Linked DNA regions of Saccharomyces cerevisiae S288C. The gene in region 1 interacts genetically with each later gene. Each region holds a gene or a part of one and is shown in the gene's direction. Other genes may lie near its edges. The genes, in order: SHE4, LRG1, ECM33 and CHS7.

What was found.
Region 2: mutations in SHE4 (region 1) and LRG1 together harm fitness more than expected from each alone (negative genetic interaction), as found in Saccharomyces cerevisiae (2 studies listed by BioGRID).
Region 3: mutations in SHE4 (region 1) and ECM33 together harm fitness more than expected from each alone (negative genetic interaction), as found in Saccharomyces cerevisiae (2 studies listed by BioGRID).
Region 4: mutations in SHE4 (region 1) and CHS7 together harm fitness more than expected from each alone (negative genetic interaction), as found in Saccharomyces cerevisiae (4 studies listed by BioGRID, with this or other methods).

Annotation. Positions count from the first base shown.
Region 1 is NC_001147.6:394,987-402,370, reverse strand, and holds SHE4 (She4p), read left to right. Parts: upstream 1-2,266; coding exon 2,267-4,636; downstream 4,637-7,384. Other genes in the region: CYC2 (oxidoreductase), read right to left, coding at 1-816; SNAP receptor PEP12, read right to left, coding at 1,157-2,023; YOR034C-A (uncharacterized protein), read left to right, coding at 4,703-4,945; putative palmitoyltransferase AKR2, read left to right, coding at 5,285-7,384. UniProt on the Saccharomyces cerevisiae protein: Required for mother cell-specific ho expression. Might be required for the transport of factors (such as ASH1) that promote HO repression from the mother cell into its bud.
Region 2 is NC_001136.10:19,010-27,978, forward strand, and holds LRG1 (GTPase-activating protein LRG1), read left to right. Parts: upstream 1-3,813; coding exon 3,814-6,867; downstream 6,868-8,969. Other genes in the region: YDL242W (uncharacterized protein), read left to right, coding at 1-303; YDL241W (uncharacterized protein), read left to right, coding at 1,626-1,997; ADY3 (Ady3p), read right to left, coding at 7,394-8,969. UniProt on the Saccharomyces cerevisiae protein: Acts in signal transduction. Activates CDC42, RHO1 and RHO2. Negatively regulates 1,3-beta-glucan synthesis. May be responsible for the down-regulation of CDC42 during mating.
Region 3 is NC_001134.8:389,735-397,400, forward strand, and holds ECM33 (Ecm33p), read left to right. Parts: upstream 1-3,388; coding exon 3,389-3,446; intron 3,447-3,776; coding exon 3,777-5,008; downstream 5,009-7,666. Other genes in the region: ECM8 (Ecm8p), read left to right, coding at 493-1,557; SLM4 (Slm4p), read right to left, coding at 2,071-2,559; RPG1 (translation initiation factor eIF3 core subunit a), read right to left, coding at 5,649-7,666. UniProt on the Saccharomyces cerevisiae protein: Required for proper cell wall integrity and for the correct assembly of the mannoprotein outer layer of the cell wall. Important for apical bud growth.
Region 4 is NC_001140.6:379,521-386,821, forward strand, and holds CHS7 (Chs7p), read left to right. Parts: upstream 1-4,017; coding exon 4,018-4,968; downstream 4,969-7,301. Other genes in the region: YHR139C-A (uncharacterized protein), read right to left, coding at 588-899; YHR140W (uncharacterized protein), read left to right, coding at 1,052-1,771; 60S ribosomal protein eL42 RPL42B, read right to left, coding at 2,470-2,786, 3,228-3,231; DSE2 (Dse2p), read left to right, coding at 5,990-6,967. UniProt on the Saccharomyces cerevisiae protein: Chaperone required for the export of the chitin synthase CHS3 from the endoplasmic reticulum.

The DNA of each region.
Region 1 (7,384 bases):
AGCTTGAAGTCTTAAAAGGATAGGATACAAGGGTCCCAGTTGTTTAATGTTCTTATCCGTATGAAATAACTTTATAGTACCTCTAAATGGTGATTCAGTCAAAAGTAGTTGCAACGCAGTAACTATTCCGGTACCAGCGGTGAACATCATTATGTCATAAGGCTGGTAAATAAATTGGGAATTTTCTCTAACGTTATTGCCCCTTTCATTGCGATTATCCATGTATAAACAATCGCGAGATCTTTTTAGCTCATTAGGCAAATGAGGAAACTCATAATCGATAAACGGGCCTCTTATTTCAATTATATGTCCCTTGGGAAGATGGTGTAACCATCTTGCAACTTCTCCATTCTCATACTTCTTAATATAGAAAGATAATTTTCCATCTGCATTGTCACCATCTTTTAAGATTTCAATCTCTTTTGAAGCTGGGTTAAATTTAAGCGGTAGAGGCGTATAATTGCGGACCACCATGACTTCCGGTTGTTTGATCTCGACGGACCACAGATTTTCCGCAGTCATCAATGACCATATGTTAACTTTCTGCTTAAACAACGGAGTTACTTCCAATAAAAAATGTGATGAATCAATATCTCGCTTGTGTGAAATCTTGTACTTGACAAAATAAGATGGAGATAACTCATGTTTGTTTTCCCTCTCACTTGTGTACCTGTAGGTTAAATAACTGCTTACTGCTCCAACTGTCAGTAGGCAGCCTGTGATAAAAAAGTTCTTAGAGAAGCTGCTCTTTCTAGGTGACTTATGAAGCCTACGTGTTATTCGGGAACTGGATAGAACATAATTTTTCCACAGCATGCTACTTTTTCTTTTTTTCGTTTCCTCTTTTCTATTTTTGAAGGGTTCTTTCAACACGTTGCACTCTTCGAAGTTGTATTTTTCACTTGGGTTAAGTGAATTTTCACTCTTCATTAGGGTATGATGATATTAACAACATTTCAGAAGGGCAAGGAAAGGCGAAAAACTGAATTATGGAATATACTCTCTCTTTGCGGCTGGTTAAGATGCGACGGCGTAGAAATATTATGAGAGAGCCCATGCATTGTACAGTGAAAGTGCAAAACAAGTTCATTAACACGAATCTGTTTTAAGTGTATATATTATGTATATGATATTTGACGACGTGTGTTGGTTTGGTTTACAATTTCATAATGAGAAAAATAAAAAGAAGCATTACGAGAAGCACAATCAACAAATACACCCTCCATCTGCTCGTACGTTTTTGGTACCGCATGGCCTTCCTTAGCTCGTCTGAAGCCAATTGAGTGTTATCTGACGTTGTATAAATATTTGCTTCAATATTGTCAACTAGCACACCCTGCTGTTGAACAACACTTCCCAAATCTTTAAAAACTTCGTTCAGTTCCGTTATACCTCTTTCAATATTGCTGATTTCCTGGTCTCTTTGCTCGATAAGATTTTGCTGATAAGCAAACTCTTCGTTATTTATCGGGTCTCTCTCAATGACTATTTGGCTGCCTGGTATTCGAGTACTTTTTGAGCTATTCTGCCTTTGTTCTTCATCTAATAAAGCAGCATCATTTGCCATCTCACTTGCTTCAAGAGATTCTTTTGCTCTTTCATTAACTTGTTTCATTACTTGGGTAAACTGCCGCTGAATACCTTGAAACTCTTGAAAAGAGTAACTGACATCCCTCACAAGTTTCTCTCTCGCTATTATTTGAGTCTTATCCAGGCTAGCTTCCTCAATCGCATCCATCTTTTTCACTGATGTATTGACCTTTTTAATGAGCCCGCCTATTTCTTCTATCTTTGCCACAGATCTCTTATTAATTCTTTCCACAACTTTCGCACTAACATCTCCCCGATCTATAAATGACTTAAGTGTCGCGGTAAACTGCTGCAGCGTGCTTATTTGCCCATTTATTTCAAATAACTCTGCAGCAACCTCTTCTTTCAACGTTTGGAACTCAGGTGAATCACTGAATCTGGAACCGTTCCAAACGGCTTCATTATCACCACCAAAAAATTCGTCTTCCGACATCTCAACACAATTATTGTAGTAATTTACGTTATATTCTTCTATAAAAGCATTCTCTTTGGAGTGATAGCAGGCCTGTTTTATAGGGGATTATACTCTGGCGCAGTAGTTCATCGTCGATCATGATGATTATCAGCCGCGATAAGGCACGAAGGCTTAAATCCAATTACGAATCTTCTACTTAATAGTGAAGACGTTTTATCTAAACTACTCACATGAAAAGATTACTAAAAAATTAGAATCACGATGCCACTGTGTGAGAAAGGGAATGATCCAATCGATAGCTCTACTATTGATAGCCTCTGCGCTGCATTTGACAAGACTTTGAAATCCACCCCTGATGTCCAAAAATACAATGATGCTATAAATACAATTTTCCAGCTAAGGCAAAAATCTGAATCTGGGAAAATGCCGGCTGATTTAACGAATAGTGAAGCCCTTAAAGATCGTCAGAAAATCGAAGAAATATTGACCAGGTCTTACCAAGACCATTCTGAGTCCCGCGTACATTTATCTAAACTTATACAGAATGATATTCCCTTCGCACTCAATTTATTTGAAATATTATCAAGATCATCCATCCACGTTTTCGTTGGTTGCTTTTCCAATAAAGACGCAACAATTGCATTGTTAAATGAGCTGCAAATTAGGATACACTATGGCGAGGACACCCACGTCACGTATTTACTGAGCATAATTCTACAACTATTGAATAAGTTCAAGTACAATTTCAAGGAGGTGCGATTTTTAGTGAAGGAACTTATTTTGCGCATAAGCGAAGATGAAGTAAAATCGATGATGCTTATAATTTTTGCTGAATTACAATCAAGCTTCCAAAAAGACTTTGATAAAGCAGTGGTCGATTTCATGAGTAGCTTAATTGTGGAGGCAGAAATAGACGTTGGAAATGATCCATTGTCCATCATAGTCAAAACCCTATCAGAATTATATCCTTCATTGACAACACTTTGTTCTGAAATATTTTTGACCAAAGGACTAAGTAAGCTTTTTAAGAAGAGAGTATTCGAAGAGCAGGATTTACAGTTTACAAAAGAACTGCTGCGGTTATTATCTTCCGCGTGTATTGATGAGACCATGAGAACGTATATTACAGAAAATTACCTTCAACTATTGGAAAGATCACTAAACGTGGAAGATGTACAAATATATTCTGCATTGGTGTTAGTTAAGACATGGTCTTTCACAAAATTAACGTGTATAAACTTGAAGCAACTGTCCGAAATCTTTATAAACGCTATTTCAAGACGTATCATGCCAAAAATTGAAAATGTCAATGAAAGTGCGGTTAAGCTCGAGGAGGTTCCTAAAGTTGAAATGTCCGTTGAAGCGCTGGCATATTTAAGTCTAAAGGCCTCGGTTAAGATTATGATTAGGAGTAACGAGAGCTTTACTGAAATTCTATTAACTATGATTAAAAGCCAGAAAATGACGCACTGTTTATATGGTCTCTTAGTTATCATGGCAAATTTGTCCACTTTACCAGAGGAATCCAATGGTAGTTCACAGTCTATCAATGACTTAAAAAATTACGCAGATTTGAAGGGCCCAGGCGCAGACAAGGTAGGCGCAGAGAAAGAATCAAAGGAAGATATTCTTTTGTTTAACGAAAAGTACATATTAAGGACCGAGCTGATTTCCTTTTTGAAGAGGGAAATGCACAATTTGAGCCCCAATTGTAAACAACAAGTGGTTAGGGTTATATATAACATAACCCGCTCGAAAAACTTCATTCCTCAATGCATTTCACAAGGTGGTACAACTATCATCTTAGAATATTTGGCCAATAAGCAGGACATAGGGGAGCCAATACGGATTCTAGGGTGTCGGGCATTAACAAGAATGCTAATATTCACTAATCCGGGTTTGATATTTAAAAAATACTCTGCATTAAACGCTATCCCCTTCTTGTTCGAATTGTTGCCAAGGTCTACGCCAGTGGATGACAATCCGTTACATAACGACGAACAAATAAAGCTGACAGACAATTACGAGGCACTATTAGCTCTGACGAACTTGGCATCATCGGAGACCTCTGATGGTGAAGAAGTTTGCAAGCATATCGTATCTACAAAAGTATATTGGTCCACGATTGAGAATCTGATGCTAGACGAAAACGTTCCTTTGCAAAGATCAACATTAGAGCTCATAAGTAATATGATGAGTCATCCATTAACGATTGCTGCTAAGTTCTTTAACTTGGAAAATCCTCAGAGTTTGAGAAATTTTAATATATTGGTGAAACTTCTTCAGTTATCCGACGTTGAGTCTCAACGAGCAGTGGCTGCTATCTTTGCTAACATTGCCACCACGATTCCATTGATAGCTAAGGAACTGTTAACCAAGAAAGAACTAATCGAAAATGCTATTCAGGTATTTGCGGATCAAATTGATGACATTGAGTTAAGACAAAGGTTACTTATGCTTTTTTTTGGATTATTCGAAGTGATACCGGATAATGGCACTAACGAGGTGTATCCGTTGCTGCAAGAAAATCAAAAATTAAAGGATGCTTTAAATATGTCTTTAAAGAGAGGCGATTCAGGACCAGAGTTTTCAGCGGCAATTCCCGTTATCCTTGCTAAAATTAAAGTCTAATATGGAAAGAATCGCCATGTTTAACTCTTCTTAATTTTCACTAAGAAATACAACAGCACCCTGATAATGAACACACAAGAACTATGTAAGATTTTCGTAGCCAGAGAATATCCTCTGGTAGTGGTGCCCTTTATATATTTTGTTCTATTTTTACACCAGAAGTATCACACTACTCTAAATTATGTCTGGTACCCTACGTGTTCTAAAAGAATCTGGGTGAGAGAAAAAGGAAGAAAGTGCTCCTTTTTTTTTTTTTCAAAGGTGCCTCGGTCCGATGGCTTCGCAAACAATAGATGCCAAAGGAAATGATCTTCTCTTTTTCGCTTCTTTATTTTTTTTTAAGTTACGACTTCGTGCAGCCTGGGATGTACCAAGCTTGTTGTTAAACGAGCCTGACTTCTTAATCGCTTAATCTTAGTTGAATTTAGTAGTTCCAGTTTGTATGGCTGCTATTTTTGAGTATTTGGAATCATCTTTCGTTCAGCGATCTTTTTATCATTCACTTTGTCGTTTACAATTAGAAAGCGTCAAAACTTTGCATTTTTCATTTAATAATAACTGAACTCCACCAACTTTTTACTAGCAAGTTGTAAAGTTCATCGGTCAGATAAACATCTTAATTACCTGTGAAATACTCTACTGTTTCTTATGACCAGTATGTCAATTATTGATGATGAGAACGTGAAAAAAACTTCTAATGGGGCAGCTGTTGTCACTGATGTGGCTCAACACGCTGTAAGTGATTCGGACAATAACAAAGCGCAACTTCTAGGCGATGGATCCAACACTGAATATGTGGTTGATATTTTCATTGAAGCCGCTAAGGATGGGGATTTAAAAGTGGTGAAGGACGTGGTCGAAAGTGGAGCAGTGGATATTAATAACGACCGCATTGATGAATTATCCGGCTTACACTGGGCCTGTATAAACAATAGGTTTTCTGTAGCAAAGTTCCTATTACTTAGGGGAGCAAATCCTAACCAGGCGGCAGGCCCCGGAGGGGCTACTGCTTTGCACTGGGCCGCAAGGTACGGTAATATCTACATTGTTGACCTGCTTCTCAAACATGGCGCTGATCCGACGCTCAAAGATGAGCAGGGTCTTAACATCATGCATTTTAGCGTTTACAGTTCTAACATTTTACTTGTTGTTTATGTTCTTTATTTTGTCGTAAACAACAATGACAACGTCGATATCGATTCAAAAGATAACAATAACAGAACACCCCTACTTTGGGCTGCTTATCAAGGAGATTTTCTCACTGTAGAACTTTTATTGAAATTTGGCTCCACAGTTGCATGGACGGACAACAGAGGGTTCAATGCTCTCCATTGTGCTCTAGTTGGAGGTGATCAAAGGGTCATATGTGACTTAATACTTAGCGGTGCAAATTTCTACGAAAGGAATAACCAGAAGCAAGACTGTTTTGATCTAGCCGAAGGAATGGGAACCAAATCACTTTTTGAACAAGCGTTGCAACATCATGGATATGACAGGCTTGGAAATCAGAAAGACAAACTGTTCAAGAAAAGCTCGCATGCACAATTCACAATTTTTTTGTCACCATTTTTACTCATGGTTTACATATACTTAATTTCTCTCGTTCTTTCTCCAGTGCTAGCCATTATGCTTTCCCTACTGGTCACTGTTGTCATGGTCAACACATTAAAGAAGTTTGTATTACCATGCCTTCCCAGAAAAAACACTTACAAAGTTTCTTTGACTAGAACTCCCTTTTTCAGTGGCCTCTTTCTGTCCACTTTCTGTTTTTTAATATATATATGGACGAAGAAACTCTATCCATATAGTGTATCTGACTATACCATGAAAAACGTCCAGTTTTTGGTTACTTCCTTTCTCACAGTTGTACTATTTCTGAGATTAGTACGGTCAGATCCTGGTTGTCTGAAAACGGATGATAGTTTGACTTCGATACAAGAAACAATAAAACAACTGATTGACTTAGGGAAGTTTGATAGGGAAAACTTTTGTGTTGAGACATTAGAAAGGAAGCCTTTGAGGAGTAAATATTCTTTCTTTAGCGGCGCCCTGGTGGCCAGATATGACCATTATTGTCCATGGATTTATAATGATGTTGGCTTAAAAAATCACAAACTTTTTGTCTTCTTTGCTGTGACGGTCCAATATCACATGTTTTTGTTCATGTGGTTATGTCTGGCATATTTTAAGAAAACGAACTATATTTACGAACAAGTTGAAGAATATGCAAGATGTGCCCTGCTCAAGAATGAGACTTTGTGTAAGGGTTCTAATTACGATCCCTCTACCTTTTTTTTATTCATTTGGATTAGCGTAAACTTCATCTGGCTGGGGGCTATGTTGATTGTCCAGTTCTTCCAGATATTAAAAGGAATCACGACTCCTGAATTGTTCATCTTAATCAAGGAGGAGCACAAGGCAAAATTTATCAATCTGATACCCTTCGAAAACTCTATATATACCAGTGAAAGTAAAGGTGTTGAAGATAGTGATATGATTCCTGAAGGTCCAAGTGCGACCACCATTACTCACACAATTTCTATTGATGGTTTGGAACCAAGAAATAGGCGCCGCGCCATTCTTAGCGCTTGCTTTTCAATGATGGGTATTAATCAATGGCTCGTTACTATTAAGGAAATAGTAGGTATAACCCACATTTTGCATGGACAGGTTCCACAACAACATCACAGTTCATTGCTTCGAAGTTTCTTAGTGACAAATCACTGGAAGACGAATTTGACGGATTTT
Region 2 (8,969 bases), on another chromosome or scaffold:
ATATTAGTAATTGTTTGTATGACGAATAAAATTTGTAAGCACCTGATCCAATCCTTATTATTGAGCAAGAGACGTCTTGTTTCTGTACTCTTTGATAACTATCAAGGCGACATGAAACTAAGGTCATCTCCATCTGCCATTCCTCTAGTTCCGTCAACGAAAATTCTTCAAGCTATGGAGGCCCGGAACGACATTGTTGACAGTCTGATCATCAATAGTCACGCAACGGAAAGTGATCGCCGGACTTTAGGAGACCATGAGGTTAGACAATGTGAGGATACCAACTTCGGCTTCAAAATTTGATACAGGTTAATTTTGAAGGCAACATTTAGGTTCGGCCTTATTTAAAAAAACCTTCAGGTACGCGTTCAAGATCCCATTTTAAAGGTATAGGCAGATTGCACTATTTTACCGGCAAATGTGCGAATATCGAAACTGGAAGATGTTTTCAAGAAAATTGATTTAAGATCCATTTGTCGTGTTTAGAGTTCTCATTGTTCTGGTCAATGATTTCAAACTCAAAAGGCACAAGAAACTTACAAAATTTGTTTCTTATGAACATTACGCCATGTTCTTTGCGAGCATGTGCTATACAGTCTTGCTAGAAAATGGCCCTATAATTAGAAAGCTCAAAAAATAACCCAATGCTGCATCGATTTTTGGAGAAAGGGGGTCAATCATCATCTATCTTCATAAATAACGAGTTGCAGAAAAATTGGAAACTGGTTGATTTTGAAAAGTTTTCATTTTTCTGGCAACAAATTATAGCTACAAAAAAAGAAGTTATGGCGCATAAGATGCATCAATATATGGTGTGACCAGATTGGACGTAACTAGTACTCATGTTATTATTCATATCCTTCATTTTTCCTTCTTTTCTTCTCCTTCTCGAACAGTAACTTCAGATTGAAAGACGTGAGGATGCTTTAGAATGCACATTAAAATTAATATACTACTGGCCTCTTGTGTTTGTCATTGGCTTCTATTTTCAATAAAACATCCAGACAACCCTGCTGTTAATTTTGGAAAAAAAATTTCGCCGATTCTAATCATGTGACTCCTTTTCCCCAGGCAATACCGGAGAAAGCGTTCTATCTCAAACTATATAATTTGCGCTGCTCGTCTCCAAGCCCATGCTAGTGTTTACTTTCGGTTGTAAAAGGTAACTAGAAGTTTTAACGCAAGCATTGTATTATATTTTCCCACAATTGCTCTTAAGGACCTTTTTTTTTCTTGCGTGATCCTGCACTATTGAAAAGTCTTTATCAAAAATAGATGAAACTTTTTCAGGGTTCAACATTTAGAGGCTTTTCTCATATTCTTTACTCAGTTGCCTGCGAAGACCCTTCTGCCCGCTGCGCATTTTCTTAGAAAATCAAAAAAATTGCCTTTTCATCTTTTACCTTCCGAGTTGAATATGTTGACTATTTGCAAACAGGCGTATGATTGTCGTATATAACAGGGCACTTTCGGCAGTGAATCAATAGGAGGCGTATAAGAAAAGCCAATTAGTACCTATATATATATATATATATATATATATATATATATATTCCTTTATTATAATTCCTATCAGCGATTTTTGCATCACACCCAAGAAAAATCTATAATAGAGACACAAAAAAATGAACGTAACTGAAAATGCTCTATTGTTTAAGTGCGGTAGCAAGGGCTATATTAATCAAACCTATACGCCGACAGAAATTTATAATTGTGGGGTAGCTGAAGGAAAGAAAACTGCTAAAGAAAAGAACCCAACTTATTCAATTTTTTATGATACATTTCTCACTGGGCAGCCTGCTGAAAGTCCTGAAACGTTTACGTGTGGTTCGCATGGCTTCACAAATGCGAGTTATGTGGCAAGCGACTTTTATGCATGTGGTTTTCTGCAAGGGAAAGGTACAGAAACCAATGCGGGAATACATAATACAAGGCCTTCTCATTCTCTCGCCAAATTTACCATACTGTTCATGCTAGTGTTGTATACAATTGTCTAATTCTCAAGGTATGACACTTTGGATTGGTGGTCGCAGTAGCCACCATATAATTTTTTATCGTTTCTACATATAATACGAGACAGTCAGACAGAACTTTGGGTCGCCTGAGAAGAAAGACTATAAAAATGTAACCCGTCAGTAGGACTCATCTTAAAACAGTGGGTAATTTACTAAGGAGGCTGGAAAAACTGCGATAATCGGCTTATAGTACATATATATAGAATAATCATTAATCGAGCCTTTACCGCGAAATTCATGGATTTCTCAAAAACAAAGGTGCAATTACATGTTAAGCACCGAATTTCTATGCGAAACAGGTCCGTCTCATCAGTCATAGCTTTCCAAGTATATAAAACTTGAACGCAAAAGTGCGTCATCGACGCCTTTTTTTGCGCAAGGATTGTTACTATTCATTTAATGAACTCTGATGTCTTAATAAGCCAATGGTATCCATAAGTGAAGGTGAAGTCTACTGTGTTACATTAGCAAGTCAGAACTCCTATACGATACAGTATACTGCATTATGGGCACTAAAATAATTTAGATTATAGAAAATATCGATACTATGCTTCCACTTCTCACGAAGCGGCCATGTTTTAAATGAAGTACGTTAACGCTAACACAAGGCTTGACAACTTTCATGAGCGTCAAATAGTCTACGTGTGGGCTCACTTTTTCAGATTTCTTCTTGGCTTTTGTGAGATGTATAATTAACAATAATCATAAAATCGCTACATAAAACAAAGCATAAAAAATTACAGATTTCCTGTTCAAAAATCAAATCGGTCCAGTTCAGCTATTGTTCTGCCGTTGTTCATGCTCAGAAAATTGGACCATGGTGTCATCTAACTTTAGTTGGTCCCATTAAGCTCTCTTCTGTATATCATGTTTGCCATATTGTCATATCATCTGCTTAGTATTAAACCGTTGTGGAAAACAAGAAAATTGCGAATTACTAGTATAGAAAATGCATTCTAAGTCGCCTGTGATTCCAATAGCAAAGAAATTGATCTTAATGGAAGTAGGAAATAGCTGTGGCAAAGAGACAGGATACTAAGATTGGTTTAAGGCGAGGTCATACTTAGCTATTTCCTTCACCAACATTGGTTTTCGAACAGTCAAGAGATGAAAACGCAAAAAAGTGCACTATAAAGTAAATACTCAAACGTTCCCAAAACAAAACGAGAAGAAGCGATAGGCACCTCAAAACTGAAATTATGGGCAAACAATATAACCCGTAAAAGATCACTTTACGACCAGAACATAATCAACATGGGTGGCCCCCATGTTGTACTCAGTTAGCTTTTTGAGCTAGCAAATATATCAAGAAGCCCGCATGTGCTACTTACGTTTGAATTACTTCTCGTTGTAACGCACTTTTCTACAACGTACCTCACTAGTAAATATAACTTAATGCTTGCAGGTTAGCCCATCGCTACAACACCTCCCCACAAAGTATTTACTTCAAGAAATCGATCTTGGCGAGTATATCCTTATCTTTATGTAAGTATCTTTTTCGTCTTCAAAGTATGCCGGGTATTGATGGGCACGGAAGATGTAAACAAAATGGAAAACAAATAAGAACAGAATCTGAAACGTCATTTGAGAATTTAAAATATGTAAATCATTCCTCTCGAGCCAACCAAGGCTGTTCTTGCTAGAAACCAGCAATTGGGCTTCTCATTCAAAACAGTATCCGTCTTTGCCTTAACATTGTTATTTGGCCTTTATCCCAGATATACGCAACCGTATTTATTCAAATCCAAAGAAAAAAAGAGCAGACAAATTATCAAACAACAAGTACCGGAGGTGAGCAATGATTCAAAATTCTGCTGGTTATCGATCGCTGAATACTGCATCTCCGATGACCGTGCAGGTGAAGAATCAGAAGAAAATATGCGCCCGTTGTAACAAGTTAGTTATACCCGATAGCCAACGAACTAAAACAACTTTAAAGGCTCTCGGTAAATATTATCATGAAAGTTGTTTTACCTGCCAAGACTGTCAGAAACCTTTAAAACCGAAGTACTTCCCATATCAAGTAGACAAGACAAGTGAATCTATATTGTTATGCCAATACGATTATTTTAGAAGACATAATTTGTTATGTCATGTATGTGATACCCCATTGCGTGGATTATATTATACCGCATTCGGTTACAGATACGACGAAGAGCATTTTTCTTGTACAATATGTGCTACTCCTTGTGGGGTTAAAAAATGCTTCATGTACGGAAACCAATTGTATTGCAAGTACCACTTTCTCAAGTATTTTTCGAAACGTTGCAAAGGGTGCGAGTTCCCAATATCGGATCAATATATCGAGTTTCCTAAAGGTGAAGAAATACATTGTTGGCATCCGGAATGTTATGGAATTCATAAATATTGGCATGTAAATTTAGCAGCAGAAACTGTTGGTTTGCAGTACCTTCCCAAGCTGGAATATAACCCAAATTCCGGAGACAAAGATATAAACCCAACTGCCTACGAGTTAGATAAACAAATGCAGGCGTTTAACTTTATTCTATCTAAAACGTGGTCGGTTTTATATCGTTTTGAGGAAGAGGCAGCTTCTTGCATTTCTGATATGTTTCAATATTTGACAAGCAATGATCAGTTAAAGGGCATAGAGTCTACGGGTCTGTTGGTACTAAAAATCGACTGTCTTTTCCGGGGACTGGATACTTTAAACCTCTCGACGAACAAAAGTATGCCAGTTAACAGTGATCAAGAATGCATTGAAAACAACGCAATGGCGGCCAGTAAATACAGCAAGTTTCCCAAAAATCTGTCCACAAAAATTATGATATATTTACAACTCTTAAGAAAGTTAGGGACAGAAAACAAAAACGAAACTATCACAATTTCATCTTTTATGTCTGTTATTACTGGATTAGCCCATTTTCTAAAACTGTTAACAAGATTTGGGCTATATACGGCTCTAGAAAACAATAAGTTGACTCATTCTGTTAATCCATTGTTGAGGTTTTTAAGAGAAGTAGAGAAAAATGAGCTTTTTGAAAATAACCCGTTTCAGTATATAAAGACTCCTGTTAACGCCACAGATAGTTGCGCTGGATGCAATAAATACATACAGGAGGAATGCATTCAATTTTATGAGCACCGGTGGCATATTGCTTGTTTTACTTGTTCTTCATGCCATAAGAATATAAATCCGAGGAGTTTGACGGATCCCACCTTTAATAAAGAGAAAAAAAAGATACTATGTTCTCACTGCTCAATTGATGATCCGGCCTCTGTGCCGGGTTTCAAATTTGTTACTAAGCTAGCACAACTAATTTTTCTTCTAAAAATTGCCCTAGTCAAATCAAGAACTGTAATGTTGAAATCGAAAGCATCTAACAAGGTAGGCAGAAACTCTTTACAGAGTACTATGCTAAAGGAACAAACTTACATTAGGACACTGAATGATATTAAAAGATTGAGATCTAGAAGAGAAAGTGTTCGGGTCACTCATAACAAACAACAAGCTAGAAAATCAGTGATACTGGAAACTGCAGAGACAGATTTAAATGACCCGACAAAACAAGGAGATAGTAAAAATCTTGTGATTCAAACAGATGACCCATCATCGAGCCAACAAGTGAGCACACGTGAAAATGTTTTCAGTAATACTAAGACGTTGACACTAGATGATATTTCACGTATTGTTGCCGCTGAACAAGCAAGGGAGCTAAGACCTAACGCTTTTGCACACTTTAAAAAACTAAAAGAAACCGATGACGAAACTTCGAATGTTGTTCCCAAGAAAAGCGGAGTTTATTACTCTGAATTAAGTACGATGGAACTCTCGATGATAAGGGCTATCAGTTTGTCACTGCTAGCTGGTAAACAACTGATATCGAAGACTGATCCTAACTATACTAGCTTAGTCTCAATGGTCTTCTCGAATGAAAAGCAAGTCACAGGTAGCTTTTGGAACAGAATGAAAATCATGATGAGCATGGAGCCTAAAAAGCCCATCACTAAGACTGTTTTTGGTGCTCCTTTAGATGTGTTGTGCGAGAAATGGGGTGTTGATTCCGATTTAGGTGTGGGGCCAGTGAAGATTAGGATCCCCATAATTATTGACGAGCTAATATCATCTTTGAGGCAAATGGATATGTCAGTAGAAGGTATTTTCAGGAAAAATGGAAATATCAGAAGACTGAGAGAACTAACTGCTAACATCGACAGTAATCCAACAGAAGCTCCAGACTTCTCGAAAGAAAATGCAATCCAATTATCTGCTCTTTTGAAGAAATTTATCAGAGAGCTTCCCCAACCGATTTTATCGACAGACTTATATGAACTATGGATTAAGGCCGCGAAAATTGATTTAGAGGATGAGAAACAGCGTGTTATATTGCTAATATATTCCTTATTACCCACTTACAATCGCAATTTACTGGAGGCACTTTTGTCATTTTTGCATTGGACGTCCTCATTCTCTTACATTGAGAATGAAATGGGATCAAAAATGGACATTCACAATTTATCCACAGTCATAACACCTAATATTTTATATTTGCGACATAAAGAAATTTCCAATGATAACGTCCCTGACGAACCAGAATCAGGTTTAGTTGATTCATTCGCTCAAAACAAGGGAGAAAATTACTTTTTGGCTATTGAGATAGTTGATTACCTGATTACTCACAATGAAGAAATGGCAATGGTTCCGAAATTTTTAATGAATCTTTTAAAAGATGTGCAGTTACAAAAATTAGATAACTACGAATCAATCAACCATTTTATTTCCACCGTTATGCAAAGTAAAACAATCGATTATTCCGAATGTGACATAAAAACTCCTGTCACAGTCAAAGATTCGACCACAACGGTCATACAAGGTGAAATAAACAAATAATAGGCAGAAACTGTAAGTTTCCCCTCATTTTCCTTTTTTTCTTCTCCTTCCCCTCAGATTTCGAGGTTTGTCGTTCTTATTAGAGTTCTTTGCTTTTTTCTTTGCCTATTTCAATAAAATCTTACCAGTATGCTATGGAAATGGACATTATTTTATTATTATACAACATAGTATATTCTGACTAAAATGGAATTAGAAATTGTAACATTAGTATGTACTTATAATCATTTGTATCATTGTATTACTCGCCTTTTGATGTAAATTTTGTTTATATCTCAGAACATCTCCAACAGCAGATCAGAAGTTACATTGTTCTTGTAAGTGCTTAAGAAGTCTGTTAGCAAATTGAAATCTTTCAGAAGAATATTCCACCAAAATTTCGGAAAAGCAATACCAGCGGTAAAATATCTGCCATGCTCTATATTATGTGACTTTATTTTAGGTGCACCCCCCACCAGTAACTTATTCTCTAAATAATAATTAATGACACCATTGAATATATTAGTTCTAAATAAAAAAAAAAAAGCTAAGAAAAGAAATATTTAAACAACGCTTGCAAATCATACTCAAGAGGATGCTTTACTTCAGCAATATCATGATTGTTCAAAAACTCATTCATTGCGACCTTTCTTCTACTTTTGAAATCTAACTGTTTACCAAAAACCTTAAGGTTCAAATCATTAGCAAATTTTGTGAGAAGTGTAAGCTCACATCTAAGTTGAATGACAATTGTTGGTACAATTTTTAAGAAGGTTTTTAATGGGATATCCAACACAATTAATAAATTTTTGATTAGATTTTGCGATTGCACATAGGTAAGGTCTGTCAGAATATCAAGACCCAAGGAGTCGTACTTTTCCTTCGTTATATGTGGAAAAGATTTTCCAACAGTTTCAAAATTAAGTTCGGTAGAAGGATCACCATATAGTTTTTTTAAATTCAGCTTCTCTTGGAATACATCTTCTTTTAGTGATAGAATTGTTTCTTCGAGTTTTAATATTTCACTTTGTTTTCCAGCTAACTCGTCAGTAATTTTCTTATGTGTGTTTTCTGACTCTTGAATTTGAGTGCTCCATCTTGAAGCAATCAAAGCCTGATTCTGAAGTTTCTCAACAATTTCCTGGTGTTCATTCATGTAATCGTTCAATTTATCTTCGGCATTTTTCTGAATTTTTTCACTTAGTATTAATTTTTCTTTTAACTCGCTCTTCAGTTTTTGAAAGTTTTCTTCCTTGAGGTTCAGGATATCATGCCATCTCCTTTTTTCCAAACGAAATTGTTGTTCTTTTGTTAACGCCTCTTTTTGAAGATATTTTATTTTGTGACTGTGCTGCTGTTGCATAAAATGTAATCTTTCATTAATCAATTTAAAGACAGAAATGATTTTTTCAAGACGTATACGGTCATTCTTTTCCAAAAGTTCTATCTTTCCTTTTAATTGTTTGTATTGCTCCATATTTTCAAGATTTTTGATATCTTGAAAATCCGGATAAAGCTTGGCAAAACCGTTTTGAAACATCGAAGGGGAATGGCCACATTTCATTTCTTCTAGTATGAATTTACCAAGGTCTTTCTCAAAAAGAGAAAGATTTTGCATATAGCTGTAAACATCATTTAACCTTTTCTCGTAAAACGAACCATTATCATGTAATTTTTTATTTTCATCTTGAGAAAGTTGCAAATTGCTTTTCAGTATTTCAACTTCAGATCTTAATTTTACTATAGAGTTATTCGATTCGTTAATATCTTTTAGAAATTTATCATTTTCTTGCTGCAAGTTTAGGATTTGTTTTTGCTTCCTGTATAGTTCCGAAACTAAAATATTTCTTTGAGAAAAAGCTTTACATTTAGTTTTGGCACTAGTCACTTCATTCTTCTCCTTCTTGCTAGCGTTTTTGTTTTGAAAGTCTGTAATTTTTTCTTCTCTAATTTTTTTAATTTCTTTGCGAAACCGGTCCTGAACAATGTTGAGCCTTTTTGATGCAGCTTTTCTTTCGTTGTGGAATTCCTTCTGCAAGTCTTCTATTCTTTGAAGTTTAGCATCATTCATGCTATTAAGTTCTTCTAGTTCTTGAATCCTGTCATCCTTCTCTTCTAGTTTT
Region 3 (7,666 bases), on another chromosome or scaffold:
AAGAGCTTGGTTAAGCGGATATTTAAGTTATTTTAATATATCGCTTTGTCCAAAAGCAAGTTTTGGAGGTGGGATCTCAATTTACACGATACAGTATTAACCAAATCTTGATAGCAAAAAAATGCAAAATATCGTATAAGTGAAGGCAAAGCATTGTCCAATGTAAGGTTCTGTGCCGCCCTTCCCTTTTTTGAAAGCTGCTAGATATCATTGTTACCCTTTTTAATTTCTACGCTATTCTCGGACGTCATAATTTTATAGTTACTGACACTAAAAAAAGGGTCGTACGTCTTACTGGCAGCGCCGAAAAATGTTTCGAAAATACACCTTAACACATTGAAGTAGTGATGATTTCATAAAAAACCACAAGAATTTGTTCGCTAATACATTAATTCGGTACTAGACTTTATTGACTCGTATATTTCTAACGAATAAATCACCCACTCTTGCTATCCTAACAGTATTTAATATTAGCTATTTAAAAGCCTTAAGATGGACTATGGCTACTTTTTTCCCGCACAACGTATTGAAGAAACAAATGGTGTGGATTTTTGGATAGACAGTAATGCTGAATTTACACAGTCTAAAAGACCTGACTCTTCAACATCCACTCTTTCGAGGGTTTTAACGGACACCACGAATGTATCCAATAATAGTGGATCACTCAAAAGAAAAACCATCAAGAACAAAATATTCCCACAAAGGAAAATATTCAACGATAGCGAAAATTTTGACTTTGGTAAAGCCAACACTGATTGTAAGCATGTGTTTAAAAGTATTTCTAAGCAACTGATTTTTCTTCCAAGGTGTTTCCAACATCACAGTATCCGAGGCTGGATGAAAGACAGATACTCCGAATTTGGTTATAAAATAAAAAGAAATCAAAATTGTCCCCCCTCAGCATGTGTACAGGCACTATACAATACTAGTAGATCCAATACCGAAGAGTCAAACCCCAACAGTCTGGATTCTCTGATAATGTATAAATACATGCGATACTCTGAAAAGAAAAAGGAATTGATGTGCAGATTTTGCCAGGGGAATAATTGGATTCTAGCTGAAAACTACCTAAAACATTTATTCTTTGCGCACGGCATTTTGTCTGAATTTAAGCCTCACACTTTATACCATTTCGAGTCTAAGCTGTTAAAAATCCAGGGAAAACTTAATTTCAAAATTCAAGTATTAAAAGAGCCAGAGTTTAGCAAAAAAATTTTGAACTCTCTTACTGTATCCATCATTCCCTCTCCTTTGGCCTACTACACTCAAACGTTGAACGGGGGATTTAGGAGAATCCATGTGAAATGCCCCCACTGCGAAAATTGGATCCGTTTGGGTTGGTGTGAATACGATGAAATCATTAGGGATTCCTTTCAGGATTTCGAGTCTCTAAGAAACCTCAATGCTGATTATAATGGGATGTCGTATATTCAAACACGCAATAGAGAAGACATTGAAGGTATATACGAGAATTATTTTACACACTACATCCAATGCGACTTAGCCACGTTCCGAACGAAATGTTTATATGTCCAAGTTATAACAAAAAGCAATTGATTGTGTACGCAAGATATTAAAAATAAATGATCATATAACAAATCAAACAAAATTTGCCGCTAGTAACGAACTAAACGATTACGAGACGGCTGATAAATACTAATATTCACCATCCTAGCGAAGAAACGCTTTAAATTTATAACGGTTACCATCCAAAATAATGAACATAAGCAGATCTGGCACCGTAGCAGCTCATTGGGGAAAAAAAAGCTGTCATGTAGGGCCCTCTGAGCATAATAAAAAAAGAAGATGCTTCCGTTCAATAACAGCGATAGGTAGATGGGGGAAAAAAAGGAGAGGAAGATGAGGCCCTTATGTACGTGCATATATATGTGCGAGTGCACGAAAGTGCACCACGGCAATCCGCGTAATCAAGCTTATGTAAATGGCGTGTCTGCGTAAACTCTGTCCCTGCGAAAATGTGTTTATTTATAGACTGTTCGCATTGTTTTTTCCAGCCCCCATCCGGAGACGCATGAAAAGGTGTGGCCTCGATACATATTGTTAAACCCATCAACCTAGCTTGTAGCCAAACAAATCAGTCAACTCTCTCATAGCTCTTTCAATTTTAATTACCAGTAGTCCGTAAGGGAAGCTACCTTCCGCAATGAACAATAGCAAAAGGTCGCTATTGGGTATCTGTGCGACACAGGTATGTAAATCTTCCATTTCGTAAGTATATATTTTTGTCTTAAAGGAGTCGATTTCCACAGGGTAACAGCTATTGGAGTGCTGTTCCTCAGTATCGTTTTCATCCTCTGACCACTTATCCTTAATCAATAAGCTCATCATTTTCAAGTTATTGACCGAGTTTATTTCGTTTATGGAATTTTTCGGTACATCGTTGTTTGACGTCGCATAGGACAGTATACCCCCATTAGTGGCGGTTATAATCATAGACGATTGCAAAGACGATGTCTTGAAGTCTACCGAATGCAAATCATACGGTTTCAAAGTGTTTTCCAGAAACCCTTTAACGTTTTTAGAATGGAGCATCACCATATTGCTTCAATATTTTGGATACCGTTTGCTGCTGATAACTGCCTTTTTTTTTTCTTCTTATCTTCCCTTAATTAATTCATTAGAGTCTTTTTAGCTTATATGCCAAATGAAGCAATTGTTTTTCTTTTTCTTCGTCTCTCTCTCCATATTCACCTGTTACCCAGAGGGCACCATTCATATCATTATCAACGTAAAATCTGCGAATTACCGTAAACCGCAAAAAAAAAAGGATGGCGGGCAGTATCATCCTTCACGACCCGGGTGGCTGCTGCGCCCTCGCGAAAAAGAAATGAAATGGAGTGCAAAAACGGGAAAGACGCGCCACCGTTTCTGGCCCACGCGCTCATTCTCAGTGGCCAGGCACTAGAGACAGGACTGAAACCGCGTTACCACAACAAACAAAGGCAACGTGCAGTAAACAACCATCCCTCCTGGGATCGAAATCAAAAGTACAAACCTCAGATCGAACTGAAAAATTTTCGGTAGCGTGCTTGAGCCGGTATAAATATTCAATGTCAAACACCTACGACTTTTCGCAATCAACGGACCTCTCTTGCATTTTTGTATTTAATATGTGAAGATCTTTCCTCTGCATTTTCTTTCCTTCTTTATCTTTCTTGGCTTTTCACCCTTTCTCTTCTTTTTAGAACATCATCTTTGAGTACTTCGGCCACTTTTAGAAAAGAAATTAAATAAAAGAGTTAATCGTTCATTCGCTTCTACACAGTTTAATCTTTTCCATTTTTCTTTCAACAAGTCCCTTTGAGCTATCAAGAATACGTTTATTTGACTTTTAAAGATCTAGTTTTAATTTTACTATTATTCCGCAATGCAATTCAAGAACGCTTTGACTGCTACTGCTATTCTAAGTGCCTCCGCTCTAGCTGGTATGTACACATTCTCCTTTTTTTTCATCTTTTTTTCTTTATTTGCCTCTTTCCTCACAAATCTCGAGTAGATTCGTGGTCCTCTTCATTCTTTTCTTTTTTCTTTGTCGATTACTGGGCTTTTTTTCATAGGTCTCGATTGACGCGGACGGACAATGCGAAAAAAAAAAATTTCCAAAAGAGGAAACGGGTTTCGAGATCTCGTGAGGATGGTTTTGGAATATTCTTCAATATTTCTGCCTGTCATAGGATTAGGGCGAGTAATGAAACAGAATAATACATGTATAAATCGATCGGGAATACTAACACTACTTTTCTTTATCTAAGCAGCTAACTCAACTACTTCTATTCCATCTTCATGTAGTATTGGTACTTCTGCCACTGCTACTGCTCAAGCTGATTTGGACAAAATCTCCGGTTGTAGTACCATTGTTGGTAACTTGACCATCACCGGTGACTTGGGTTCCGCTGCTTTGGCTAGTATCCAAGAGATTGATGGTTCCTTGACTATCTTCAACTCCAGTTCTTTATCTTCTTTCTCCGCTGACTCTATCAAGAAAATCACCGGTGATTTGAACATGCAAGAATTGATCATTTTGACCAGTGCTTCTTTCGGTTCTTTGCAAGAAGTAGACTCCATTAACATGGTGACTTTGCCTGCCATTTCTACCTTCTCCACCGATTTACAAAATGCTAACAACATTATTGTTTCTGACACCACTTTGGAAAGTGTCGAAGGTTTCTCCACTTTGAAGAAGGTTAATGTTTTTAACATCAACAACAACAGATATCTAAACTCTTTCCAATCTTCCTTGGAAAGTGTCTCTGACTCTTTACAATTCTCTTCCAACGGTGACAACACTACTTTGGCCTTCGACAATTTGGTCTGGGCTAACAACATCACTTTGAGAGATGTTAACTCTATTTCTTTCGGTAGTTTGCAAACTGTTAACGCTTCCTTAGGTTTCATTAACAACACTTTGCCAAGTTTGAACTTGACCCAATTGAGCAAGGTTGGTCAATCTTTGTCTATCGTCTCCAACGATGAATTATCCAAGGCCGCTTTCAGTAACTTGACTACTGTTGGTGGTGGTTTCATCATTGCTAACAACACACAATTGAAGGTCATTGACGGTTTTAACAAGGTTCAAACTGTTGGTGGTGCCATTGAAGTTACTGGTAACTTCTCAACCTTGGACTTATCTTCTTTGAAGTCTGTTAGAGGTGGTGCTAACTTCGACTCTTCTTCCAGTAACTTCTCCTGTAACGCTTTGAAGAAGTTGCAAAGTAACGGTGCTATTCAAGGTGACTCTTTTGTTTGCAAGAACGGTGCCACATCTACCTCCGTTAAGCTATCCTCTACTTCTACTGAATCATCCAAGAGCTCTGCTACATCTTCCGCTTCTTCTAGTGGTGATGCCTCCAATGCTCAAGCTAACGTTTCAGCTTCCGCTAGCTCTTCTTCCTCTTCTTCTAAGAAGTCTAAGGGTGCTGCTCCAGAACTTGTTCCAGCCACTTCATTCATGGGTGTCGTTGCTGCTGTTGGCGTTGCCTTACTATAAGATTAAAGCAACAATTTGTGTTTCTATTATTACTTTAATTTCTTCTCTAATGATTTCTTTACCATTCCTTTTTTATTATGAGACGGTTGGTTCATCACTGAATTTTATATGTAGATAAAATTTTAGTGTCGTTAATATCTCTTTTATTTCTTATTGTTACTATATTATTACTGTTTTGAAGTTCCAGTTTCATCAACTTTTGCTACCTTAATTAAAAGAACCACTCAGACTTTTTACCATCCTTTAGCTTTACCTAATATAATGAAATTTGTCTAAGTAACATAAAAAAAAGGAGTAAAGAAAAAAAAAAAATAAGTAAATGAAATAAAATATAAAAAAATTCTTACTACGGTTTAAAACAAAGTGCTCTTCCGCTAACGTTTCAAGTTTCTAAAGAATCGTTAGGGCCTTTTAACGGATCGCTTTTTTAAAACAGTAAAACGTTATTTATAGTTATTTATACCAACTATTTCTCGAAATTCGTTTTTAAAATAACTGCCATCTTTACTGCTCTTCTGCTCCTTCCTTTGACATGAAAAAGCAATCAGAAAGAAATAGTCTAATAAATTGTTATTATGTACACATACTCTTATACGTATAAAAAACGGTATAAATTAAGTAGATCATTTTGCGTTGTCTGTTACCTGCCCCCCTTGGCCAATCTCTTGGCTCTCAACTTTTCAGCCATAGTCATTTTCTTTGGACCAGAAGATGGAGTTGGGGTTGCTGGGGTTGCTGGAGTAGCTGGAGTAGCTGGGGAGGACCCACCAGCTGTTCTACCGGCTAGTCTCTGTTCGATGGCTTCTTCCATTTCTCTTTGTTTTTGAGCGATCATATCCAATTTAGCTTTATCTGGAGAAACGGTCGCCTTTGGTAGAGTGCTTGGTGTACTTGGAGGTTCCCTGTTTCCTGCGCGGAAAGAGTATGGAGTTGATTTCTTGGCAGCAGCTTCTTCGATTTCTCTTTGTTTACGGGTAGCCTCAGCGAGTTCTTGAGCACGCTTCTGTCTTTCAGCATTTGCAATTTCTTCCTTACGCCTTGCAATGGCTTCCTCGTAACGACGCTTACGAACTTCTTCAATTCTGGCCTTTTTGGCAGCTTCCAATTCAGCCTTCTTTTGGTTGCGGATGGCAGCTAATTCGCTTTCCTTAGTGCCCGAAACATGCTCCTTGAACTTCAAATAATCATCATAGACCATGACCAAGTTCTTACGATCAGCCATTCTGGCTTCGTATTCGGCCTTGGCGGCGTCGACAATTTTTTTCTTCATAGCTTCATAATTTGCTGTGTCTGTTTCTTGTAGCTTGTCAACTTCTTTTTGCAGCAATGGCAATTCGACCTTTCTCAAAGCTCTTTCCGTATGATCTAACTTCTTCATAGCATATTCCATACGACTTTCCAATTCACTCTTGTTCTTTGATACCTCAGCTATAATAACCTGTTTAATGGTGTCAAGATCTAAGCTTTTAGCTTCGTTAGGGTCAATGTAAACATGTCCCTTAGCATTCACCTCAGTAATCATCTTTGTGATTTCTCTTTCTTTGATAGCTTCAAATTCACGTTTCTTCTTTTCAATTAAGCGACGGTGAGCCTCTTCTTCCAATTTAGCTTCAATAGCAGCTTTTTCTTCCAAAATACGCTGTTGTCTGACCTCAGCATCCTGTTCAGCATGTAGGGCAGCATGTTCCATATGTTTTTGCTTTTGCTCTTGAGATCTCTTGACACGTTCGTCAACAATCTTGGAAATCTTTTCAAGGTCATCCTTGTTCTTCTTAATTAAAGTTTCACGGGCAATTCTAACCTTTTCCATGTATGAAGCATTGTTGAAACTGTCAACATCGTGTAGGACATTGGATAATTCAAGCAACTTGTTGTGGATGTAAGAATTGCGGATAATAACAGGATCAGATTCTTCTTCCTTTTCTTCACCGTCTTCAGTTTCTTGTGGCCCAAGAGCTTCGTCAGTTTCCTCCTTTTCTTCTTGGACTTCTGGCTCTGTGTTTTCTTCTTCAGAGACTTCTTTAGAAGCAGTTGATGCGAAAATGTCAAATGGATCTTTAGCGAATGTAACCTTAGCAGATTCATGATCGATGGTAATTGAAACATAATCTTCCACAGCAGCTTGTAACAGCGATTTTTCGATGTCCCAAGCAGATAAGTCTAACGGAGCAGGTAGGGTAGCGAGCTTGTATAATTCGGACTGGGAGACAGTAGTGAATTTTTGAGAGGCAGCAACAAAAACCCTTCTCATAATGACGTCTCTTAAAGGTGCGATGTATTGGCTGAAGTAGGTTTTAGAAGACAATTTGACTAATAAATTTTCCAGCTGTTGTTTCACTGTGTCGACATCAAAGTTAACTTCAATGATATCGTACAATTCTTTCAATTCCTCGTCAACTTTACCATAAATGGATTCGTCTTCAATAATGGATTGCAACATTTCCTTTCTAGTTGGCTTGGCGTCCAAGTTTAATAAACGGTACATACGTAAATGAGGATCGTAGCCAATAGATGGAATTTCGTCTAGTTGGGTAGAAATAGCGGATAGGAAAATTGTAGAAGAATATGTTTTGAATTCTTCTTCCGTGGCTCTTGGATTGGTAGAATATAACTTATAAAACTTCTTCCAGGCAGTAGTGTGCAACAATGGATCACCGG
Region 4 (7,301 bases), on another chromosome or scaffold:
CAACAGGAATTCGCTTCTGTACATCAGCCGGTATTCGCTGAGAACTACTGTAGCCCTTAACTGTTGAATGATCTTTTTCTGGTAGATCATCGGCTTCTTTTGACGCAGGAAAAGGCCCGTGTCACTTCGGCTTAGCTTCTTTCGGCGATTTTCAAGGGAAGCGTCTGCACCTTAACGCAGACAAATGACGCATGATATGCACCCTTAAGGCGGACTTGATCTTCAGATCCCTCAAATGGTAAATGTGCCATAAGGTGGCCAAATTCCAACTAAAAATGATAAATAGGTAATGAATTGTTCACTATGCAGCGTTGCCACCGTTACGCCTCCCCCTTATTTTTCATTTCCGTTTCCATCCAGTTTTTCAGCCTCCTTGAACCCTACCATTAGTAATGGAAGCAATAATCTCATAGCAGCAATTGAAAAAAAAAAAGCATATTCGCTCACATTAAAATAATGAGATAACATGAGATGGCTTGGAATTATAAGCGTTCGCTGACCTGAAAAAGGCGCGGGGCTAATGGACCCATTCGTTAAAATGACCTTAAGCATCCACACATGCAGAATAAAAGAACTTAACCTATTCCTTAGGAAAGTTTATGTATTTGCTGGTACCCTCTTCCTTCTTTGGCCTCTTTTCTGACGTGAATGTCACATGTTAACATTTTTGTCAAATAGCGTCCATCTATTTGAACAAATGCTATCATTTTTGGGGATACAAATTCTATAAGAGGTTCCTGTTTGCAGCATCTAAAAACAGAGCGTGAAACGCATGCAGAAGTGACATATAATCCTTTGTTTAAGCGACAATTAAAAATAATGATCGCTCTCTTTTCCTTTTCAGACTTGCTCATTAAATTTGACAAGATCCGCGGATTAGAGAAGTCTGCGCTTCGCATTTAATGAAAAGATCTCCGATAAGTATATAAGTCCCTTTTTTCTCGAATTATATAAGTCACTTTCTATATGTCAGTGATTATCTCTACACTAGTCTTGCTGTATTCTTAGCAAATTTTTCTCGTATTTTAAAACCATAATACAAGGAGAATCCATGATGTCTTGTCTGGTACCAACACGTTTTACTTTGACCCTTAACACCGCGTGTCTTTTGACGAGCACCTGGGGGTTTGTTAGGGCCACATCTGTAGTCTTACCTCCAAGTTTAAGTAAAGCAGGCCATAAACAGTTTCTAACCATTATATCTATTATTGCAACAATCATTAATAACGCGGTTAACATTTCTAATTATTATATCCAAAGAAACAATAAGATGAATCTAGAAACCAAGAAAAAATCAGACTTTATTAGTAGACATGTCACTTTGCCAGTTTCTTTAGTATTAGAATCTATTGTTGCTACCGTTTATTGGCCGCTTAGATTGTTTTTTGTCAACTTAATAATGCATGGAGTTGAATCTACTGCAAAGACACCTTTTCCTATGACAGTGGATATGGCAATCCACTTATATCCTATTTTATATTTACTAGCCGATCACTACTTATCGGGATCTGGCACGAAATTCAAATTATCGAATAAGCATGCATGGCTCATTGTAACCAGTTTAGCATTTTCATATTTTCAATATTTAGCATTCCTGATAGATGCGGGGCAAGGCCAAGCCTATCCATACCCGTTTCTAGACGTGAACGAGCCGTACAAGTCGATTATATTTGTTGTTGTTGCTACTATTACGTGGGCTTATTATGTATTTTATCAAAAGTTTCCGCCAAAATACATCAAGAAGTCGGCAAAGAAAGGTGATAAGAATTAGCATTACTACTAGTATACTACTATTTAAGCTCTTTGTATGTAAAGTGAGCAAATCTCAAATTTTGCTACTTAATTCTTATTTTCGTGCTAGCCCTACAACGGAACCCAAAAAATCAATCACCAGGGTAAGCGGGAAAAAAAAAAAGTGTAGGAACCGCACTATAAAAAGTCGAAGGTTTGTATTAATTTTCCACACCTCTTTAGTTTTGTTATAATCAAATTCCTTTTGGTTTTTGTTTTAAAAAGGCCAACATCATAATTATATCGCGAATGTACTACTAGTATATGCAGTTTTCTTAAAATTGCAGGGAATGACTAAAAGCCCACGTTTTTCCCACTTTTAGTAGTACTGAAGCGTAGATAGATTGAACGTTGCTGGGCGCCTGGTGTTGATCATTTCTGAAATGAGATATTGGGAATCAGCTGTATCTACATTTTATTTATACATATTTATTTTTACTGGTTCTTAGTAACGTACTTTAGTAGCAATGCTGTGTTTTAGTGCGAACGCCTACGTGTCTTGTTAACTTATCATGGTTGCCAACGCGAACGTTTACAACAGGTTCAAAGGCAGGATGAAAAATTACGCCAAATAGGCAGGTTTTCAATATTAAAGAGTTAAGTATGCAAAATTTACAAAAAGTTAATGGTCAAAGTATAACTATAAAAATATAATAAAACAATAAACAATAACAACTCTCAGAATTGCAAAGCTTGACCCTTTTGCTTCTTTTCACCACCCAATTCGAAGTGCTTACATCTCTTCAAGGTTAATTGGGCTCTAGTCTTACATTTGACACATTCCAATCTCAAAACAACCTTCTTGGTAGTCTTAGCTTTCTTGTGGAAAACAGGCTTGGTTTGACCACCGAAACCAGATTGTTTACGGTCATAACGTCTCTTACCTTGAGCGAACAAGGAAGCCTTACCAGCTTTGTATTGAGTAACCTTGTGTTGAGTGTGCTTACGACAGGTCTTACCCTTACAGTAGGTCTTTCTGGTCTTTGGGACGTTAACTGGTTCAAAATGATATCACAGCAAATTTAGCATGATAGTTGATTGTTAGTAATTGATCTTAAAAAAAAAGTAATTTGACTGCACATGTAATTAGTTGTATCTTTTTTCTGTAATGGGGAAACGGCTAAATTCACAAATATCTAATGAGTATTACTAATGATATCCTCAATATATTTTCTAACCAGAGTTCTTATTAAAAGGGCCAATAAAAGTATCATTCAGGTGTTCAGTACTTTAGGAAATGATGAAAATATTTAACTAGCTCAAAAGTAAATGAAGTTTAATAACTATTAGTTTCTTGCTTGACATGGATTTGCCCTACGATTCAGGATATTTTAAAAAGTTCTTTAGCATTCTAGTAGTACCTGTGTACTAATTACACTCTCACGCCCTAATGGAGATAAATAACATGGTTTGTCTATTCCTAATCGTCCACATACCCATTATTACTGATTGTTTTTTTGCTTAATCTCCTTCAATTTACGTTAAAACAGTGAAAATACCACATCAATTAAGATATACATTGTCAACAATATGGATGTATCTCTGAGTTCATTTCGACGAATAATTTTACCTCTCTTGGTGGAAAGCCTTCCCTCCCCCTGGCGGAACCCATCATCCCGTCGAACAACTAAACCGTCAGCGTTGCCGCACCGACGGACGTCTCTCTAGAGGTCGTCTCTCCGTCTGAACATACGCACTGTTGGTACGATGCAGCGGCAGTCTGGCCGCATTTTTGACAGCGATCTTTTTTTGTATCAAGACTTCTTCCAATGTCAGGATTTATTTTCATGATGTATGGGTGTATCGGATGTTCGGATGTCACTGTCTTTTATTTTGAAGTTTGTGACAGAGAATGCTATGGAAAATAATATGTAGCAACATAGCCAACTAATTGCCATTGCATTAAATTTTGGCAGTACTATTTAAAATGCCATGTTTTATGTTGTTACAGTAAGTTATTGACATTCTTCTGGTGTTGCCCGCTTCGCTTTCTTAAAACGGTTAAATATTGAAAAAGTTTCACAAGACACGAAATCAAAAAGGATCCATTTTGGTATAAAAATAGCATATTGCATAACTTAACTAAAAAGATTAAAAAAAGTCAAAGCTACACTGGCATACTTTGAACTGTTTTTTCAAAGCTGTCTCCACGTGGAAAGTTTATTTCATCAAAACTATTATCAAAAATTGTGGTTTTGTTAATACAAAAGCTGATATATATATAATATGGCATTTAGTGATTTTGCTGCCATATGCTCAAAGACCCCGTTGCCATTATGTTCGGTAATAAAGTCTAAAACCCATCTAATACTTTCGAACTCAACAATTATACATGATTTTGATCCTTTAAATTTGAATGTCGGTGTACTGCCACGCTGTTATGCTCGGTCGATTGATCTTGCCAATACAGTCATCTTTGATGTCGGGAACGCATTCATAAATATTGGTGCTCTAGGTGTCATTTTAATCATACTTTATAACATAAGACAGAAGTATACTGCTATTGGCAGGTCTGAATATCTCTACTTTTTCCAACTAACATTGCTATTGATAATATTTACCTTGGTGGTAGACTGTGGTGTATCTCCCCCCGGCTCTGGGTCATATCCATACTTCGTGGCTATACAAATAGGACTGGCGGGTGCATGTTGCTGGGCCTTATTGATAATCGGGTTTTTAGGTTTCAATTTATGGGAAGATGGGACTACAAAGTCCATGCTGTTGGTCCGTGGAACGTCCATGCTAGGATTCATAGCCAATTTTTTAGCCTCTATTTTAACCTTCAAAGCATGGATCACCGACCATAAAGTAGCAACAATGAACGCTTCAGGGATGATTGTCGTCGTTTACATAATAAACGCCATTTTCTTATTCGTTTTCGTTATTTGTCAATTACTGGTATCCCTATTGGTAGTTCGAAACTTATGGGTCACAGGAGCTATCTTTTTGGGGCTATTTTTCTTTGTAGCAGGCCAGGTATTGGTTTATGCCTTCTCTACACAAATTTGTGAAGGGTTCAAGCACTACTTAGATGGCCTCTTTTTTGGAAGCATCTGTAATGTGTTCACATTAATGATGGTTTACAAGACTTGGGATATGACTACCGACGACGACTTGGAATTTGGTGTAAGTGTTAGCAAGGACGGTGACGTGGTGTATGATAATGGATTTATGTGAAATGCTTCTTTTTTCTATTACCATATATAGAAAATAGGTGTATACTATTAGTTTAATGTAATAAGCAGGACTATGACAAACCAAAGAGTGAAAGTAGCCGTTTCCACGTTTTAACGGCTTGTGTACACTTTGACAGTCAATCAGCGTAGTGACTTCTTTTATCAGCGGAAACAACCATATCCATAAAAGAAACGTGATGGTCGTTCCCGTAGTTTATTAAGTAAGATGACAAATTATCCTTCTTTAGTCAATTGAAAACAAAACTTCTTAATCTGTTTCCAATGTTTTAAAGTCGCTCATATGTTCATGACTACTTTTCCATGAGAGGGTTCTACGAAAAGCATCATCTTATTTTCGCAACGCTGCGGGTTTAGGCCTTTCCGCTGGTCTCTTTTCTGTTTACAGTTCTGCCCGAATGTAAACAAATACTTTGCGAAAAGTAAATAATGTATTCTGAAAAAAAAAAAGAGAACTGTGAACAATGCTTGATAGTTGTAGGAATATCTTAGAAGAAAGGGGATAGATTATCTGGAAAATCGTTTGAATAAAATAAGAACCAGTAATTCATTCGTTTAAATTGGAAAAACAAAACATAAAAGAACCAGCAATGTCTTGGTTGCCTGTTAATGTAAAAAGTTCTCCCAAAAGATGACAGGAAACTCGTTAACTCATACTCGGTATATAAGAGGAAACTTATCTAATGTTTCATTCATTCTTCCTCTTCTGCTTATTCGATGTCTATTGAAAAACTTCAAGTAAACCAGCAATATCGACTTCCATTAAGTAGACAGCGAGCCTGAAACAAAGAATATACTGTTTCAATTCCAACTAAAGCCACTCCCTCAAGCGTTATTATTTTTTGAATTATATTTTCGGGTTTTAAGCTAACTCTAGTCATTCCTTACTACATTTTATTGTAACTCTTCAGTAGAGCTAACCACAGTCATTCCTTAATATTTTTTAACACAGATCTCTTTCACAGAGTAGAAATAAAGCCACTCCTTTAACAAATTACAAAGAAATGAAATTTAATTTTTCTACAATTTTCAATATCTTATTCTTTTTATTCACCTTAATTGAAGCCAACAGCAATGGGGAAACAGTCAAACTTATTACTTCTGATGGTATTGTTTACAGTTATGCTGTCTACACAAAGACTCTTGCGCCGGCAAGGGTTGTGGTTAAAACGATTTCATATACTACTACAAGGGTATATCCGATTACTTTAGCTAATTCCGTCGTTTCTTCCACTACTGAAAAGATAACAGAGGTTTCAACGGTGTCAGCTTCAGAACAAGTTAGTGCTACTCAAACAAACTCATTGGTTTCTACTTCTACTGTTTCCACTATCAGTCCAACGATTTCATCTGGTTCTTCAACATCCTCTAGCTCTACATACGATATCGAATCATCTCAAAGTATCGAATCGTCAGGTACATCTTCCGCTACAGCCGAACCATCTGCGTCTTCAGGTTTTCGTTTGACTTCTAGTTCTGCTTTTGTTTCATCTACTGCACCTTTCTCTTCCCAACTTTCTTCATCTTCATCTTCTGAAACATCATCCTCATCATTTTCAACATCATCATCATCTGCCCCTCTTTCCTTAACTTCTTCTTCTTCTTCTTCTTCTTCTTTCGCCACTATTATTACCTTGGCACCATCGAGCTCAAAAAGCGGAAACTCTCAACTAACTTTGGCGTCATCGTCTTCCACTTCCGCAGTTGAGTCATCCCAAACAGGGTCCACTATAGCAAGAACTACCTCTACACTGGTACCCTCTTCTAGCGTAGATACAACGTCTAGAGCAACGACATCCATGCCATTAGAATCGTCTTCTACGCAATCGATATCCGTCTCCAGCTCGGATGGCACTTGTTACGTTTTTTATGATGATGATGACTACTATAGTACTGTCTACTTAACTAACCCGTCTCAATCCGTTGATGCCGCCACCACTATAACTAGTACAAACACAATTTATGCTACGGTTACCATTTAGCGCTTAGGCATAATGGTGGTGCATTCTTTTCTATTTGTTTTCTCAGGCGTATTTTTTCCATTATTTTTTGTTAAAAATAGTAAAAAGACAGTATTATTTATTCATTTTTCCTCGTGTTGTTATAACGACTAAGTTTCCTAATTTCTTTATTTTGTTTTTTTCTCATGATCTTTTCATTTTGTAGTTTCAACTATTATATACAATGTGTATACTATAACTTAATTTTATTAGTTACCTCTTACTAAGGATACTGATTCTTCCCCACTCATTTCATGAATTCATCACAAGTCTTTAGTATTTTTCATATGGAAATTACATCACCTATATATATCAA